2 linked regions of the Stegostoma tigrinum genome follow. The protein of the gene in region 1 purifies or fractionates together with the protein of each later gene. This does not show direct contact. Links are inferred from orthologs where the notes say so. Each region holds a gene or a part of one and is shown on either strand. Other genes may lie near its edges.

Region 1 (7,743 bases):
GGAGAGATTTTTGGGCAGGTCCACCTTCTGCTTGTTCCAGGAGATCCACATTTGCCACAAGCAAGCTGGAGAACAGGGCCCATTGCACCGCCACAGCCAATGCCTACTCTTCCACCTCTGGATATTGCCGCTCCACTATCAGGGAGGTATTGCGAGAATCCTGTCATGCCCCCAGTGCACTGGCACCAAGTGCTGCAAGGGCACAGTGGTCTAGGACGGTACTATATGGCTATGTGGGATACAGGTATTGCACAGGGAAAGAACACATTCCATGGTTTTTAACCTGGCTGTCTACCAGGAGTACACTCTTGATCTCTTAGTGTACTTCAGGCCCTCTGCATGTATAGCTTGCCTTGCATTAACGTTTAGCATACAGACAACCAGGCAAGTGGCTATACTGTGCAGCAGTTCTTAGTTAAGGGCATGTACATCTTGCCTTACTTCAGTCGGCCAGTTGCTGTCATTATAGGGGCCAGTCTTTATAGAGGGAGTGGGGTGGTACTGTCATGGTCAGGGACATGCATCTGTCAGCCAAGGGTCTGAGCATAGTGGGCTAGCCTAGGCTAGTGCCAGAAGGAGAAGTCAACCAAGGGGCTGAGCCATGATTATCTGTCACCTCTATTAGCAGAAATTAAGGGAGTAAGGGTCAGGGTCAGGGTCAGGGGGAGGGGTGATATGGATGGTACTTAGAAAGTGTGCAGTTTTAGTCACATATCCGCTGCAAGGGGATGGTCTGGGGCACTATGAGGCTGACTGGATCAATGGAATGGTCACCTGAGGAGGACAGGGTCATATTAGGGGTCTCTGTGGCATGTTAATGCTGAGACTGAAAGCCTCAGAGGACTACTCACTGTGTTTTGCCATTGATGAAACTTGTGGATAGTGGAAGAAAAGGGCTAGAAAGAAGAGTGTAAGTGAGGTGAATTGTGAGGGATGGGGCTGCATCTCCAATTATTCACTTAACTATTGCAGGAGTAATATTGTTCTCAGATGATTTGTTAGTCATACAGGCATACACATTGCTGCAGGATGACTAGTGGTAGGCACTGACTATCTCTGTTGAATCACTCCATTACTATCACTGTTGGGGAACTTCTTGTGATACATATCCCTGTGCACAACTGAACAGTGGGTGATGGGGAGGGATGTAACACCCAGCTTGTTGCAATGAGCATATGCTATGTACGTGTGCTGCTATCCCAGCATCTACATGATGTATTTGTTGGTCATCACAGACCTTTTCAAATATTCCATGAAGTCAATGGCTATGGATTGATGCCACAAGGAACTACACGTCATCTTCAGCTGAAACAGAGACAGTTTCAATATCAGGAAAGCTGAAATGCAAGATGTTATGTAATGTTAAAACTATTTCCATACCATTGGTTGTGGGGAAAAAAAAATTTAAACAGGAAAGCATTTTGTAAATAAACCATTAACATAATAGTGTGGTAAACAAGCTATTTGCTTTGGTATAATCATCAATAAATTATATGCAGGTTGGGCAGGCATTGCCCATACAAGACATTTGTACGTTTCCCTTGCTAGCTGAAGCCTGTTGGCTCTGGGTGTTTGGTGAAGTGGCCTCAGGGATGTTTGGACCTGGCTGAGTTAGACACACATTGATCTAGGAATTGGTGGCTCTGAACAACTCCAAGGCTCCTGTGCTTGTCCTCCATGGCAGCTATCAAACTGTCCAGGCAGAGAGAGAGAGCCAATTTATAGGGGCTGACTACACAATCTGCAGGATAACAGGCTGAATCAATGGACTAGCTGCAGTCTGGGAGATAACAGGCTGTGAATTTACACTGTGTGGTTGCTTTCTTCCAACTTCTCAGCAATGAGGGCCTGTGACTTCTAAATGCCTACCTGCTGCTGCTCCTGTACATCTGCACAACATCCCTCATAGCTGACAACATCAGGTCATCTGCTAGGGGTTTAACAGGTGCCTGATCAATGACAGTCCTCTGACTGCAAGTGGCCTGGAGTGTTTCTCCCTTCTCCATGTGTGGAGATGCTGGGGTATGAACTTCACTGGGTCAGTGTCCAATGATATATTGCATCCATGCTTCTGAGTGGTCCAGCAGGCAATGCAAATCATGGTTCCTCCAATTGTCCTCTATGATAATAGCAGGAGGGATCAAGGAACTCTCCTCCTGAGAGAATGGATCCACCTGAAAGACAAAGGGCAGAGGGCATTACAGCCACTGGCTAGTAGTGGTGTTCAGTACTTTGTTAATACAAGTGAAATGACCAACTGTTACTAACTGGGGTGGCAGGACATGGATGGCTCCTCTTCTTTGCTAGACCGGTCCCTGTTTTTTCCTGCCAGGGAAGCATCCTTTCCTTGCAGGTGGTGAGGCATCAGTCTCTGTCCTGTTACAGGATGTCTTCTCCTGTAATTATATGAAGGGGATAAATGAGTAAGACACAAGTGGATGGTATGTCCATTAGTGTTGGTGGATGTGGGATGCAGGTGTCGAAGTGGTCTGACAGAATGACTAAGAAAGTGTAAGTGGAGTGAGGGGGGGAATGAGTGAGGGAAGGTGTTTCATGCACTAGAGTGGGTGTCAGATCATAACCATTGGTGGGAGGTGGATGCTGTCTGCTACCTCACACTTACCTGTGCCACAGCAGAGTACTGCAGTTACTCTGATGAAACAAAGAAGACTACTGACCTCCTTCCTCACCCTGGAGATGGTACCGACCCAGGCGGCGATCTCTGACTCCTCTCCTCTCCACAATACCATCCACAAGGACTTCAAAGACCCTTTCCCGGAAGTATAGTTCTAGTTTCCTCTTCTCTGCTATCTCTCCTGATACCTAACATGGCCAGGCAGCACAATGTTAGCACTTCTGCAGATACACTGTGCTTTGAAAGATAACACAGGTCCAGGAGATGCTGGTTATATGGAGGACCCCTGCTGAGTAGCATGTTCTTTGGGAACAGTGCCTGGTAAGATAAGGCAGAAATAGGGTGTGATATTCACTGTGTGTGAAAGCAGTGACTTTGGCAAGGTACAATGAGAAAACATACACAGCCGTAAGGCAAGAATCACCTCACCCATGTGCTGTGAATTGCACTTCAGTCTTGATCTTAAACAGTAAAACTTAGCCGTAAAAAACATATGTGGACTCTAGGAAAGCTGCTGTCAGTTTCAATGGAGTGATGACAAGTTTGTTGTCATCATTACTGCAAAATCCAAGGCATGCTGAAATGCTGTTAGTGTTGATAGTAAACAAATGAGCAAACAAATTTGAAGGCTGGGACTGTAGGTAAAATTGACTGTGTAATTGTTACAACCAACAGAAAAACCACATTCCTTGATTAATGAGAATAACAAGGTGTAGAGCTAGGTGAAAACAGCAGGCCAGGCGCCATCCGAGGAGCAGGAAAGCTGGCGTTTCGGGTCTGGACCCTTCTTCAGAAAGGTTTCTGAAGAAGGGTCCAGACCCGAAACTTCAGTTTTCCTGCTTCTTTGATGCTGCTTTGCCTGCTGTGTCCATCCATCCCTGCACCTTGTTCTGTCAGACTCTCCAGCATCAGCAGTTCCTACTATCTCTTCCTTGTTTAATGCTGTTCTAGCATTTACAAATAAAGCACAATATCATCTGCATCCTTTTACTTAAAATTGTATTAAATTGTGATGGGATTCGTGGTTTTCAGAGCGCCTCCATCTTACCTGGGCGGCTGCAGCTTCAGCCTGTATTAGATTTTGAGCTGTGGCTGCTTTGGGTGCAGTTACTTTGGGTGGGCCATTTGGAGATTGGCAGGAGGAGCTGGCTTTGATCAGGTTATGCAAGATAGCCTTTATTTCAGCTTGTCTTGGGAGAATGTTCTGTGGAATGGGAGCTGAGCTGGTGCTCCACACAGATAAATTGGTTTTGCTCTTGTGGATGTGATGGTGCTGATTGTTTTATTAAGTGCAGAACTGGCATTTCCAGGATGTTCTTTTCAGCCTCCAACAGGGGTGGGTGAAATAAACCCATCTGACTTGAGGTTGCAATGGAGGATACATGAAGCAAGGAAAACACAAACTTTGGATCTGGAAGCAGGCAAAAGGCAAGTGCTGCTGCTTCTAAAGTTATTTGAAAGCAATTGACCAGAATTAGATTTTTTTTAATGTTAGTGGAATTGTAACAATTGACATCTGAAAACCAGTTAGCAAAAAATTGTTTCACATTTAAAACACAACTATTCAAAAATGGACACTAAAGTTTCTGGTATACTTCTAACAGAGGTTTCCTTTAGCAAGAGTCTGTTTAGCTGGATTGTATATTTTGAATAACACTGTAATAAACAATGTAGATAGTTATTATCCCGTTCCTGTAAATGTATTTTTAGTCAACCTGTTGGGACGTTTTATGATAAGACTAGTGGTATTTGAATCGAGGCCTTCTGGTTGGGGGTAGGAACATTTCCACTGCAGTCCTTAAGATTTTGTATTTCTAAGTTCAAGGTATGGTAGATATTTTGTTACTCAAAGGAGCTGGGATGTTACGATACGTCTCTGGAGCAGCGAGGACTTCAACCCGGGCCCTCCTGTTTCAAAGGGAGGGACACTAACATTATGCCATTAGAGCCTGCCATTGTGACTTTGTAGAATGGGTGACGCAGTTGGCCTATTTCTTGGATAACACCAATCGTTACTATGCAAATGACGCACAGTCTTATGAATAATGTATGATATGCAGATGAGCACATACCCCCGCTCGAGCGTGGCGGCGGCGGCCTCTCTCCGACAGAGCGAGCGTTGTCATCATGGCGACGGGAGAGCAGTGAGTGCGCAGGGTTCATCCTGCAAGCGTTGACCCTTTCGATCGTTCGACATTCCTGTTCTTTCTTGCAATTATTTTGGTCTCGATGCGGGTGTAACCACAATGGCTGAGGTAACATCGCCGGTGATGGAGGTGGGGAAGCGGATTCCATGTGCAGCGGGGTTGTTGGGCGAAGGCAGCAGCCCGGGCCCCGTCGCCGCTCTGACAGTAGAACCGCTCTCTCCACAGCCGAAGCCTGGCCCCGGATGCGGCTCGAGTTCGGCGGTTGCAGGGAGGGGAGTGCGCGTCTTAAAGGTAACGTTCACAGTCTGGCTCGTGTTAATTGACCTCTGAAGAATGTAGGTAATAATAGCCTCAATTTTTGATTTATTTCAAGAGATGTCCCGTCTTCCATTTCAGATGTTCAAATGAAAAGTTATCAAATGTGGCTGATTTGCTTGGATTAGTATTTTTATTAGTATTTGCTTGGATTAGTATTTTTACAAATATTTGCCCACATTAAAACGTTGCGGTTTCAACGCAGCGGATTCCAGGTGATCAGCTTTTCCCTGGCTCTGTGCAAGATAAACGCAGTTTTTTTATGTCACGCTACCTTTAACTGTTAATGATTGTCCTAATATGGGAAATACAGATACACTAAATGTGTATATTTTTGAAAATTGCATATTGCAGTATTTTCAAAGCCAGTCTCTATATTTATTCATCTAGTGTGCAAGTCTACATGATAAAAATCGGTTGCAGTAAAATGACCTGAAGGTGAACAGTTGTAAAATGCGTCCTTTTTTTTCCTGTTAGGAGTTGCACCGTCCTTATGTTCCTCTAATATCTTGCTGAACAGTGAAAACCTGTAGGAACTACCAACGCCCAGATCATTAGAAACAGAAAGTGTCAAGTTATAGGTGTTGCAGATGAATTAAAAATATTTTATTCATAGCTCTGTACCGTTAAAATATTTTCATATTTTGTTAAAGTGCTTCATGTACAGGGAAGGAGGGGTCCTTTAGGTGATGGCCTTCTAAAATGAGATAGCAAAAATGAAAGTGGCGAGTCACATTCGGTGCACGTTCTGTTCTTTTTGGCATTCCTGTGACTTGGCATACTGGTGGGTTTCTTGTTCTCACCGTAGTCAGTGGTGGACGAATTTAGACTCAGTTTGTTTACAGCAAAGAAATAGGCCCTTTGTGTCCATGTCAATCACTGAACATCCATTTATTCTAATCCTATTTTCCAATATTTGATCTGTAGCCTTTGTGGTGTTTCATGTGCTCATCTAAATACTACTAAAATGTGTTGAGGGTTCTTACTTCTACACCTTTTTAGACAAGGAGCTGTTGACACCCACTACCGTCTGGGTGAAAGAGATAACAAGGTGGAGAGCTGGATGAACACAGCAGGCCAGGCAGCATCAGAGGAGCAGGAAGGCTGATGTTTCGGGCCTAGGGTGAATTTCTTTTTCCTCACATTCCCTTTTAAACCTCCTGCTCCTTGCCTTAAGACTGCACCGCCTTAGGAGCAGAAAAGCTGACGTTTCAGTCCTAGACCCTCCTGTGATGCTGTTTGGCCTGCTCTGTTCATCCAGCTGCACACTTGGTTATCTCGGATTATCCAGCATCTGCAGTTCCTACTGTCTCTTAAAACTGCAACCCCCGGTTATTGATCACTCTACTTTTGGGAAGGTTGTTTTGTTGTCTACAGAGTACATGCCCGTCAGAACTTTATATACCTCAATAGATTTCCTCGCCACCCACCTTCCCCCAAGTGCCTTTTTACTCTAAAGAAAACAACACAACCTATTCATAGCTGAATTGTTTTTGCACACTAGTGCAATCATATCCTGCCTATAGTATCGCAACTAGAACTGCATGCAGTACTCCGGCCATGGCCCAACTTGGAGAAGGCAAGAGAATAGGACTGAGAAGCATAATAGCCACGATTGAATGGTGGAGCAAACTCAGTTAGCCAAATGGGTTAATTTTGCATGCTATATCTTATGGTCTTGTAATCAATACCTTGAGTAATAAAGTTAAGTATCCTATATGCCATGTGATCATCTGCTTTTGCTGCCTTCAGGGATCTCTTGACATGCACACCAAGGACACTGACATTTTCTGTATTTCCTAGGCTCTTGCAATTCAATGTGTATTCCCTTGTTAATTAGATTTTGCTAGGATGCATCCCTTCACACTTTAAAGGATGAATTCAGTTTGCTACTATTCAGCCCATCTGACAAGCCAGTTCTAAAGCTTTCCTTCTTGTACTTTACCAAACTGTCAATTTTTTTTGTATCATCGGCAAACTAACTGATCATGTCTCTTATCTTCATGTCTAGATCTTTAACATACACAACAAACACCAAGGGACCCAGCGTTTCAACTCTGTGGCACACCACAGGACAGAGTCTTCTGGTCACAAAAACAGCCTTTGACTACCACGCTTTGCTTCCAGCTACTGTCAATTTTGGATCCAATTTTCCAACTGCTCTCGAACCCACAAGCTCTTAGCTTCTTAACCAGTCTGCCATGCAAGACCTTGTCTCCATCAACTTCAGTTAGGCTTTGACCAGATCAACTGCTCACTACCCTTATCTGCACGCCTAGTCAATTCCTCTATTCAGTCAAATTTCTGAACATGATCTTCCATTTACAAAACCATGTTGATTGTCCGTGAGTAACCCTTGCCTGTCCAAGTGGAGATTAATTCTGTCCTTGAGAATGTTTTCCAAATATTCCCCGACCACAGATGTTTTACCTCCCTTGAATCGTGGTATCACATTAGTTGTCCTCTGGTCTCCTGACATTATTCCTGTATCCAGAATGGATTTGAAAATTAATTCAAAGTGTATGCAATCTCCTCCCCTGGCTCCCACAGCAGTCTGCCATACTTCACATCTGGACCTGAAGATTTATGTACTTCTTTTGAGCCTGCCAAAATCACTAAAAGCTCACCCCTCTCATTGCTAATTCA
Region 2 (8,227 bases), on another chromosome or scaffold:
AACCTTCTCCCTCCTTGTTTCTTTTTCAGTTGTACTCTGTCTTTGTAGGCTTCTTATTGCCGTTTGCTGCATTATATGCTTTCTCTCTTGCTTTCATGCTGCCCCTGACTTCCCTTGTCAGTCATAGTTACCTCATTCTTCCTTTGGTATGCTTCTATTTCCTAGGGATGAGTTTTTGCTGTGTTTACTGAACTACTCCCTGAAATTCCTGGCATTGCTGTTTCACTGTCTTTCCTGCTAGGCTTCTCTCCCAGTCAATTCTAGTCAGCCCCTCCCTCATGCCTCTGTAGTTGTCTTTATTCAACTGTAATACCGTTATTTCTGATTCCAGCTGCTCCCTCTCAAATTGCAGAGTAGTTTCTATCATATTAAGAGTCACTGTCTCCTAAGGGTTCCTTCACCTTAAGCTCCCTTATCACGTCAGCCTCATTGCATATCCCTAAATCCAAAATTGTCTGTTCCCTAGTGAGGTCCACCATAAGCTGCTCCCAAAATCCATCTTGTAGACTTTACTCAAATTCCTTTTCTTGGTGACCCTCTGCCAACCTGATTTTCCCATTCCATCTGCATATTGAAATTCCCCTGGATCACTGTAACCTTAATAAAAACTGAAACAACTGCAGATGCTGTAAATCAGGAACAAAAACAGAAGTTGCTGGAAAAGCTCAGCAGGTCTGACAGCATTTGTGAAGAAAAATAGAGGTAACATTTCGGGTCTGGTGATCCTTCCTCAGAACCCTGATCTAAGGAAAGGTAACCAGACCCGACCCTGATCTGAGGAAGGGTCACTGGACCTGAAACATCAACTCTGATTTTTCTTCATAGATGCTGCTGGACCTGCTGAGCTTTTCCAGCAATTTCGGTTTTTATCACCGTAACCTTGCCGTTCTTATATGCCTTTTCTATCTCCTGGTGTATTTTCTACCCTACATCCTGACTACTGTTTGGAGGCCTGTACATAACTCCCATTATGTTTTGTTTTACCTTTGTGGTTCCTCATCTCTACCCACAAAGATGCTACATCATCTGACTGTACATCGTTTCTTGCTATTGATGTAATTACGTTCCTTACTAATAAGGTAATCACAACCCCTCTGTCCACCTTCCTGTCTTTTCAATAGGATGTATATCCTTGGATGTTTAGCTGTTGAGTCCTGATGCCCACCACATCGTACCTGCCATTTTTGATCGGTGCCACAAGCTCATTTACCTTATTTCATAGTCTGCATGCATTCAGATACAATGCCTTCAGTCCTGTATTTACTATCCCTCTCTTCATTGTCATCCCTTTATCCGGTGTGCTTGAAGTTTGATTCCTAACCCTTTCCAAATGCTGTCTCCTTTTGTGTTTGGAAGGATTTAATAACTTCTCCTGACTTCCCTTCCCTTTTCAGTGTTTTTCATACTTTTCCATGCATTTGAATCCACCGTACACAGATGTTAACCTGCTGCCTTGTTTCCTATCGGCCATTACACTTCCTTATGTTTTACCCTTTCTCCCCCCGCCCCCCATTTTCTAGTTTAAAGTCCTTTTGACCAGCCTATTTACACTTTTCGCTAGAACATTGGTCCCAGCTCGATCATCCCATGAGACCATCCCAACAGTACAGATCCCTCCTGTTCCAGTACTCATGCCAATGCCCCATGAAAAGGAACCCCTCTCTCCCACACCATTCTTTTAGCCACATGTTTACTTACCTTGTTCTTGCCTCCCTATGCCATTTTGCACATGGCTCAGGTAGTGAAATGGAGATTATAACCCTTATGGAGCTTTTCTTAAATTTAGTTCTTATTTCCTGATAAACCCCAAAACAGGTCCTTCTTTCCTAGTCTTGCCTATGTTGTTTGTCCCAACATACACCACAACAACGGGATCCTCTCCCTCTCTCTCCAATATCCTTTCAAGCTGGTCAGAGATATCCTTCACCCTGGCATTGGGCAGCCAACATAGCATGCGGAACTCTCGACCCTGCTTACAGAGGATGCTTTCTATTCCCCTAAGTATACAATGCCCTACAACTACCACTTGTCTTTTTGCTCCCTCCTCTTGAATGGCCCAATGTACCACAGTGCTGTGGTCAGTGGCTCATCCTCCTTACAGCTCTGGTCCTCAGGGAGCAAATACCTTGTATCTTTTGGACAGGTTCAAGAGCTGAGTCTCCTCAGTTCCTGAGTACGGGATTATTTTACCTGCCTCACTTGCAGTCACACCCTGCTGTTCCTGACCAATCACTGTATTTTAGGTGCTCAATCTACCAAAACTTCATGGATTCCAGAGTCAATGTTGAGGGCAACTTCATCCCAAATGTAGACCACTGTGTCACTGCCTCTGTTGTGTCTGTCATATGGCATGACAGGACATATCCTGGATGGTGATGGAGGTGTCTGGTACATTGTAAGGTATGATGCCGCCAGTATTTCTATGTTTGGCTGTTGCTTAACTAGTCTGTAAGACAACTCTCCCAATTTTGACACTCGGCCCCAAATATTGGTAAGAAGGACCATAGAGTATCATCAGTGCCTTTTTGGCCATTGTCATTTTGGTACCAACGTTGATGCCAGGTGGTCCATCCAGTTTCATTCCTTTGTTGAGACTTTGAAGAAATTGAAACAACTGAGTGGTTTGCTAGACCATTTCAGAGAGCAGTTGACAGTCAAACCACATTGCTGCAGGTCTGAAGTCACATGTTGGCCATAGCAGGTAAGGGCGGCAGTTTCCTTCCTTAAGGACAACAGTGAACCAAATCAGTTTTCCCAACAATTGTCAGTGGCTTCATGGTCATCATTAGATACTTAGTTCCAGACTTTTTTATGGAATTCAGATTCCCCCATTCGAACCTAGGTACCCAGAACATTTGCTGAGTTTCAGGATTAGTAGTCTAGCAATAATACCACGAGGCCATCACCTCCCCTTTTGGGGTCAAGCTTTTTGAGAGTGCTGGAGTTGCATTTGTCCAAGCAACTAAGAATTATTCCATCACACTCCGGACCTGTGCTTTGTAGATGGTGGACAGACTATGTGGAGTTGGGAGGTGTTACTTGTTGTAGAATACCTAAGTTCTGATCCAAGTAGAACACTACTCACCACGTCTGCTGCTCTAAGTAACCAATCTTTACTCCCACGCTCTGTTTTCTGTCGCAAAGCCATCTGCCACTCGTCTTTGACCTTATTTATTGATCTACTCTGGGGCACCTTGCTAAAAGCCTTTTGAAAATTAAGATAAATTTCATCTACCACGTTTTCTGCTGTGTTCCCTCCTGAAAAAATTAGTATGTTCATCAGTTCTTCCGAGATGATGCACAGTTGCAGCCGTGTAGTCGGTTTAGTAGCAGGGATTCAAGATGTTAGGGTTCAGGGGCTCTGATCCAGGCCCCTGATTTGGCTGAGCTAGATGTGGGAGCTATTCCAAAGACAAGCTCACTGTATTGAAATAAGACTATAAGATGAACTTGATTGTTCTATTTTTCTGGCTTTATATTCTGTGTTTTGGTTTATTTTCTGTGATTTAAGATGGCACTGGAAAGTTGCAACACAACAACACTTTCAACTGATAACAGTGTGGAAGAACACAGCAGGCCAAGCAGCATCAGAGGAACAGGAAAGTTGACGTTACAAGTCAACTTCAGAAAAGGCCGGCTATGTTCCTCCAGCTCCACGCTTATCTCTGGCTCCAGCATCAGCAGTTCTTACTATCTCTGAACACTTAACATTTGTTTTACGTACGTGTGACAATAAATCAAATCAAATCAATGCATTCGATACAATGGGATTGACTGGGTAGCTCTTCTGGGAGCCACCATACACAGTCTATGGGCCAAACGGCCACCTTCTATCCTGTAAAATTCTAAGATCCAGCTGGATTTTCATTTTTGAAATCTATGCTGACTACATTCATTATTATATTTCTAATTTCTGATTGCTCCATTCTATCCAAAATCTAGGAAATTTTTCAGAAATACAAACAATACACCCAGTACATCTGCAACAAATATTGTTTTAAGCATCCAAGGCCGAGGCCATCAGTTTCACAAAAATTGTTAGTTTTGTTCGCTCTTTCTTTGCAGTGTCAGTGATTATTTAAGTCTCTTTCTTCCTTTCTTCTTTGTTTTCCACAGGAACAGCATTTCCACAAAGTACATATTCGTATGTTAAAAATCTTGTTAATGGTTTTCAGTAAAATGACAAAAACAACCTTGACTTTCCTGAAACCATCTACATCCTCAAAAGAAAATCTTGTAAATTCTGCAAAATGCATTCTTTAACCAGCAGGAGACAGCACTGGCAGCACTAATGGAGGGAATGTTTAAAAAACCCTAAATTTTATCGTATATATTTTACTAAGATTTGTTCTTGCGTGTGCCAATATTACATTGTTCTATAGTTGAGTATGTAGTGTGAACTAGAGGATACACTGTTGCTGTTTCACTGTTTACCTGCAAGTTTTCTAAATTTACAGTTCTACCGCTTCCAGCTTCACTCAGACTTGTCAATCAACAAGTTGCCCGGCGACCGTGGCGGGGTTTGCAAGTATTCTTAAAGTTCGTATTGCAGCCTTCTTTACAGGTTACGCCATGGCATTTTGAAAAGTGTTCGCGGCATCGAATTCGTCATTTCTCTGCAAAGTTTTGCAGACTTTGCATTAACTGATATAGATGTTAAACTCCTGCTTGGTCACGTCAGTGAGAATGCAAATTTGAAGGCAACGTGGAATAAATATTAATAAGGGGGGGCCCTTGCGGAGGAGGGTGTCGATTGGCTGAGGATGAAGACGCGCTGTTAGTGATTGGAGAGACGAACTGTCAATCAAGGAAAGGCCGTCCCTGGTTGTGCTGATGGTTTGTGAATCGCGCGCAGAGAGAATAGCTTCGAGTCTCAGTTGGATACAGAGTATCCCAGAGTGACGCTTTAATATAGTGTCCCTGAGTAAGTGACTGGTTGAGGGGTATCCCCATCATGACCAAGGAGCAACTCCGGCCCAGGCTCTGTGTCATCGAGAAAGGCCCGAGTGGATACGGCTTCCACCTGCATGGGGAGAAGGGCAAGACCGGCCAGTTCATCCGCCTGGTGGAAGCGGCCTCTCCAGCTGAGCGAGCGGGGCTGCGGGCCGGCGACAAAGTGGTTCAGGTGAACGGGGACAATGTGGAGCAGGACAGCCACCAGCAAGTGGTCCAGAAGATCAAGGCGGTGGCTGAGCAAACCCGGTTGCTGGTGGTGGACAGGGAGACGGACGAGCTGCTGAGGGCCCGGGGGCTAGTGTGCAAGGAGGAATACATCAACGGCATCCCCGACCCCACGGAATCGGTTCAGGAGCAGCAGGAGGAGCCCGAAGAGAAAAGCCCGGCAGCCGAGACCAAAGCGGCAGACACTGTGTCTCAGAGCAGCAGCGAGAAGGTGAGGAGGCTGGCCAGAGGGCGCACCTCTCTGAGAACGGGGAACGTTATAGGGTAACGGGAAGTGGCGGACATTACCCGGGATGGAGGGGGTCACTTTCTGCCACAGAAGGTGTGGGATAGGCACGAGAGGGACGGGAGCACTGGGGTCGGGACGGCCGGAATGCGGGTCCCTCGGTGATGGGAATGCGCAGCGTCTGGAGAGGAAGGCCGCCGCTGTCGTCCTTCCCTGAGGAGATTCTCTCAGCAATTCATCTGTAGTAGTTTATGAACTAAAGTTAAAGGATTTAGGAATAAGAATACCAGTAGCCGCCAGTGTGTGTAACACCAGTGAGCTGTGCTGAAGCGTTGTACTAGCTGAGGGGTCAGCTCTGGTCCTCACCTGAGACTCGGTTTTTCTAAGGCAGTAAGTCCAGGGTCTAAATCTGATGCTAAACTTACTTTCCTAAGTGAACAACCCTATAGAATTTGGCTCTACCCACAACAGGATGAATGAGCTGACAGTAGAAAACATCTAAAGACTGGGGAGAGTTTTCACAGGATGCCACTGAACAGTCTAGTGTAGAACAGACTGTCCTTGGTACTGGAAGAAACTTTGGTGAAATCTGTTGTTGTACTGTGATCTGGATTGAAAGGGTGTTGATTTCAGGTTTCCCGTCCTCCTGTGGCACAGGAGACAAGGGTCAATAACTCTGCATTTCAGCACGTATGAGCAGCAATTTCTTTTATACTTGCAAACTTGCAAGTTCAGTCAGCATTTATTGTGACGATCACAGTTCAGGTATTGAGGTCAGAGTCTGAGCAGTAAGAGCTGAAGCTGCTCATTGGATGGTTGTGTGGTGAAATAACTGAAAACCTAATTAGCCCGACTAAAGCTGGTCCTATACTGTTAGATTTGTCAGTAGGTAATTCCCACTGGATCTTGTTAGGGGACTGAAACTCCATGTCTTGCAATCCTTTTCTGATCTAAAGATGAGGGGAAAAGATTTTTTTTTGCACCAGTCGCTTGAAAGTTGTTACCGAAAGTTTGTGGATTGCCCTCTGGAGACTGGAGGTTGTAAGATAAACTAAAATAAAACAAAGAACTGTGGATGCTGGAGATCTGAAACAAAAACATAAATTGCTGAGGACAGTCAGCAAGTTTGGCAACTTCTGTGGGGAGAGAACAGAGTTAACATTTTGAGTTTAGTGCATCTTCATTAGAACCTATCTGTGTTCTGAGAAAGAGTCACTGGACCTGAAATGTTAACTCTGATTTCTCTCCACAGATGTGCCAGGCCTGCTGAGTTTATTTCAAAATTATACTTTATTTATAACAAAATGTTATGTACAGTTTCATGTCACTGAAACAGACCCAGTTTGGCGTTTGACTCTATCCAACAAACAAACCAAAGGCATCTCTTATTTGTGCAAGATTACATAGAATAGGTTTTTCACTCTTGAAGATTTCGAGCCTGGTTGGGATCCAGAAGGTTTTCTGATCAAACAAATGAAGACTGCGAACAATTTAAAACTTTTTTTTCCTTCAGAAGCCTTGCATGTTACTTTATTAACTGAGGTCGAGTCTGTAAAAGCAGGGAGGTTATGCTAAAGCTGTTTAAAGCACTAGTAAGGCCACAGTTTCAGTACTGCAGATAGTCTGGCCATTGTCTTGCAGGAAGAGTGAGAATAAACTAGAGGTTAAAGAGGAAAATGCAGGCATTTAACTACAAGGAAGAATTGCTTTAGCTGAAGGTTTGTTTTTTGAAATAATGCTGTCTGAAGGGATGTTTAATTAACTGGTATAAAATTGAGGAGCTTAGATAGTGGTGGGATCAGAAGGCCTTATTTCTCTTCAAGAGACCAAGAATAGGAGGCCCACATTTCAAATATTTAGTAGAAGGATGAGTGATGAGTTATCATTTTTGCCCAGAGGATGGTGGGAGCCTGGGACTGTTTGCCCAAAAGGGCTGTAAAGGCAGAAATCCTTATCACTTTAACAAGTACTAAATTTTTATTCTTTCCACTTGAGGTGTCATAACCAAAAAAAATCAAGAACCAAAACCTAGAAAGTGAGATCAATTTACATGGTTTCTCAGCCAGCACAGACATGGTGGTGTGAATGCCACCTTGAATTTAAAATCTCTGCACTTTGTATGTTTTCCCCCATCCACCCCTGCCTCAGATGCTGTAGCTGCTTATCTTGACGGCGAGTTGAATGAGAGATAATGGGAACTGCAGATGCTGGAGAATTCCAAGATAATAAAATGTGAGGCTGGATGAACACAGCAGGCCAAGCAGCATCTCAGGAGCACAAAAGCTGACGTCATGAAGGGTCTAGGCCCGAAACGTCAGCTTTTGTGCTCCTGAGATGCGGCTTGGCCTGCTGTGTTCATCCAGCCTCTCATTTTATTATCAGCGAGTTGAATGAGGCCACTTTCTCCTTTTTGAGAGGAGGAGCCTACTTATTGCAGTGAAAGGGTTGCAGCTGTGAAATTCTGGTTTGGCATTCAAACCTGCATATAAAATTCATGAGCTTGTGTTCTTGTAAATGGCCCGTTTCATTCGGTTGTCAGACTTGAATGCAAGGCTTTAGCACTTCCTTTCCTGGGTAGGAAACAAATATCAACTGTGACACTGAGTTTGCATAGCAGGTCATTCACTTACTGAAAAAATATGACTCTCACTTTAACAATTATATCATGAAAGTATAAATACCAATACATTATAGATCAAAACTGAAAACCACTGTACTAGTGTGAGGTGCTGCTTTACTATTAATTTATATCAAATTGCTCTCACCTCCAGTGTTAGGCTGTTAGACTGATGGACCTATTCCCACCTGTCTTGTTCTTAA

Evidence for each region.
Region 2: the proteins of PH domain leucine-rich repeat-containing protein phosphatase 2-like (region 1) and Na(+)/H(+) exchange regulatory cofactor NHE-RF1-like purify together in Homo sapiens (co-immunoprecipitation; 3 studies listed by BioGRID and IntAct, with this or other methods). This does not show direct contact. The link is inferred for Stegostoma tigrinum from reciprocal best matches to the Homo sapiens genes PHLPP2 and NHERF1.

The regions. Positions count from the first base shown.
Region 1 is NC_081369.1:35,900,888-35,908,630, reverse strand, and holds the start of PH domain leucine-rich repeat-containing protein phosphatase 2-like, read left to right. Parts: upstream 1-4,706; 5' UTR 4,707-4,881; coding exon 4,882-5,073; intron 5,074-7,743. UniProt on the Homo sapiens protein: Protein phosphatase involved in regulation of Akt and PKC signaling.
Region 2 is NC_081375.1:37,094,765-37,102,991, forward strand, and holds the start of Na(+)/H(+) exchange regulatory cofactor NHE-RF1-like, read left to right. Parts: upstream 1-4,795; 5' UTR 4,796-4,954; coding exon 4,955-5,392; intron 5,393-8,227. UniProt on the Homo sapiens protein: Scaffold protein that connects plasma membrane proteins with members of the ezrin/moesin/radixin family and thereby helps to link them to the actin cytoskeleton and to regulate their surface expression. Necessary for recycling of internalized ADRB2.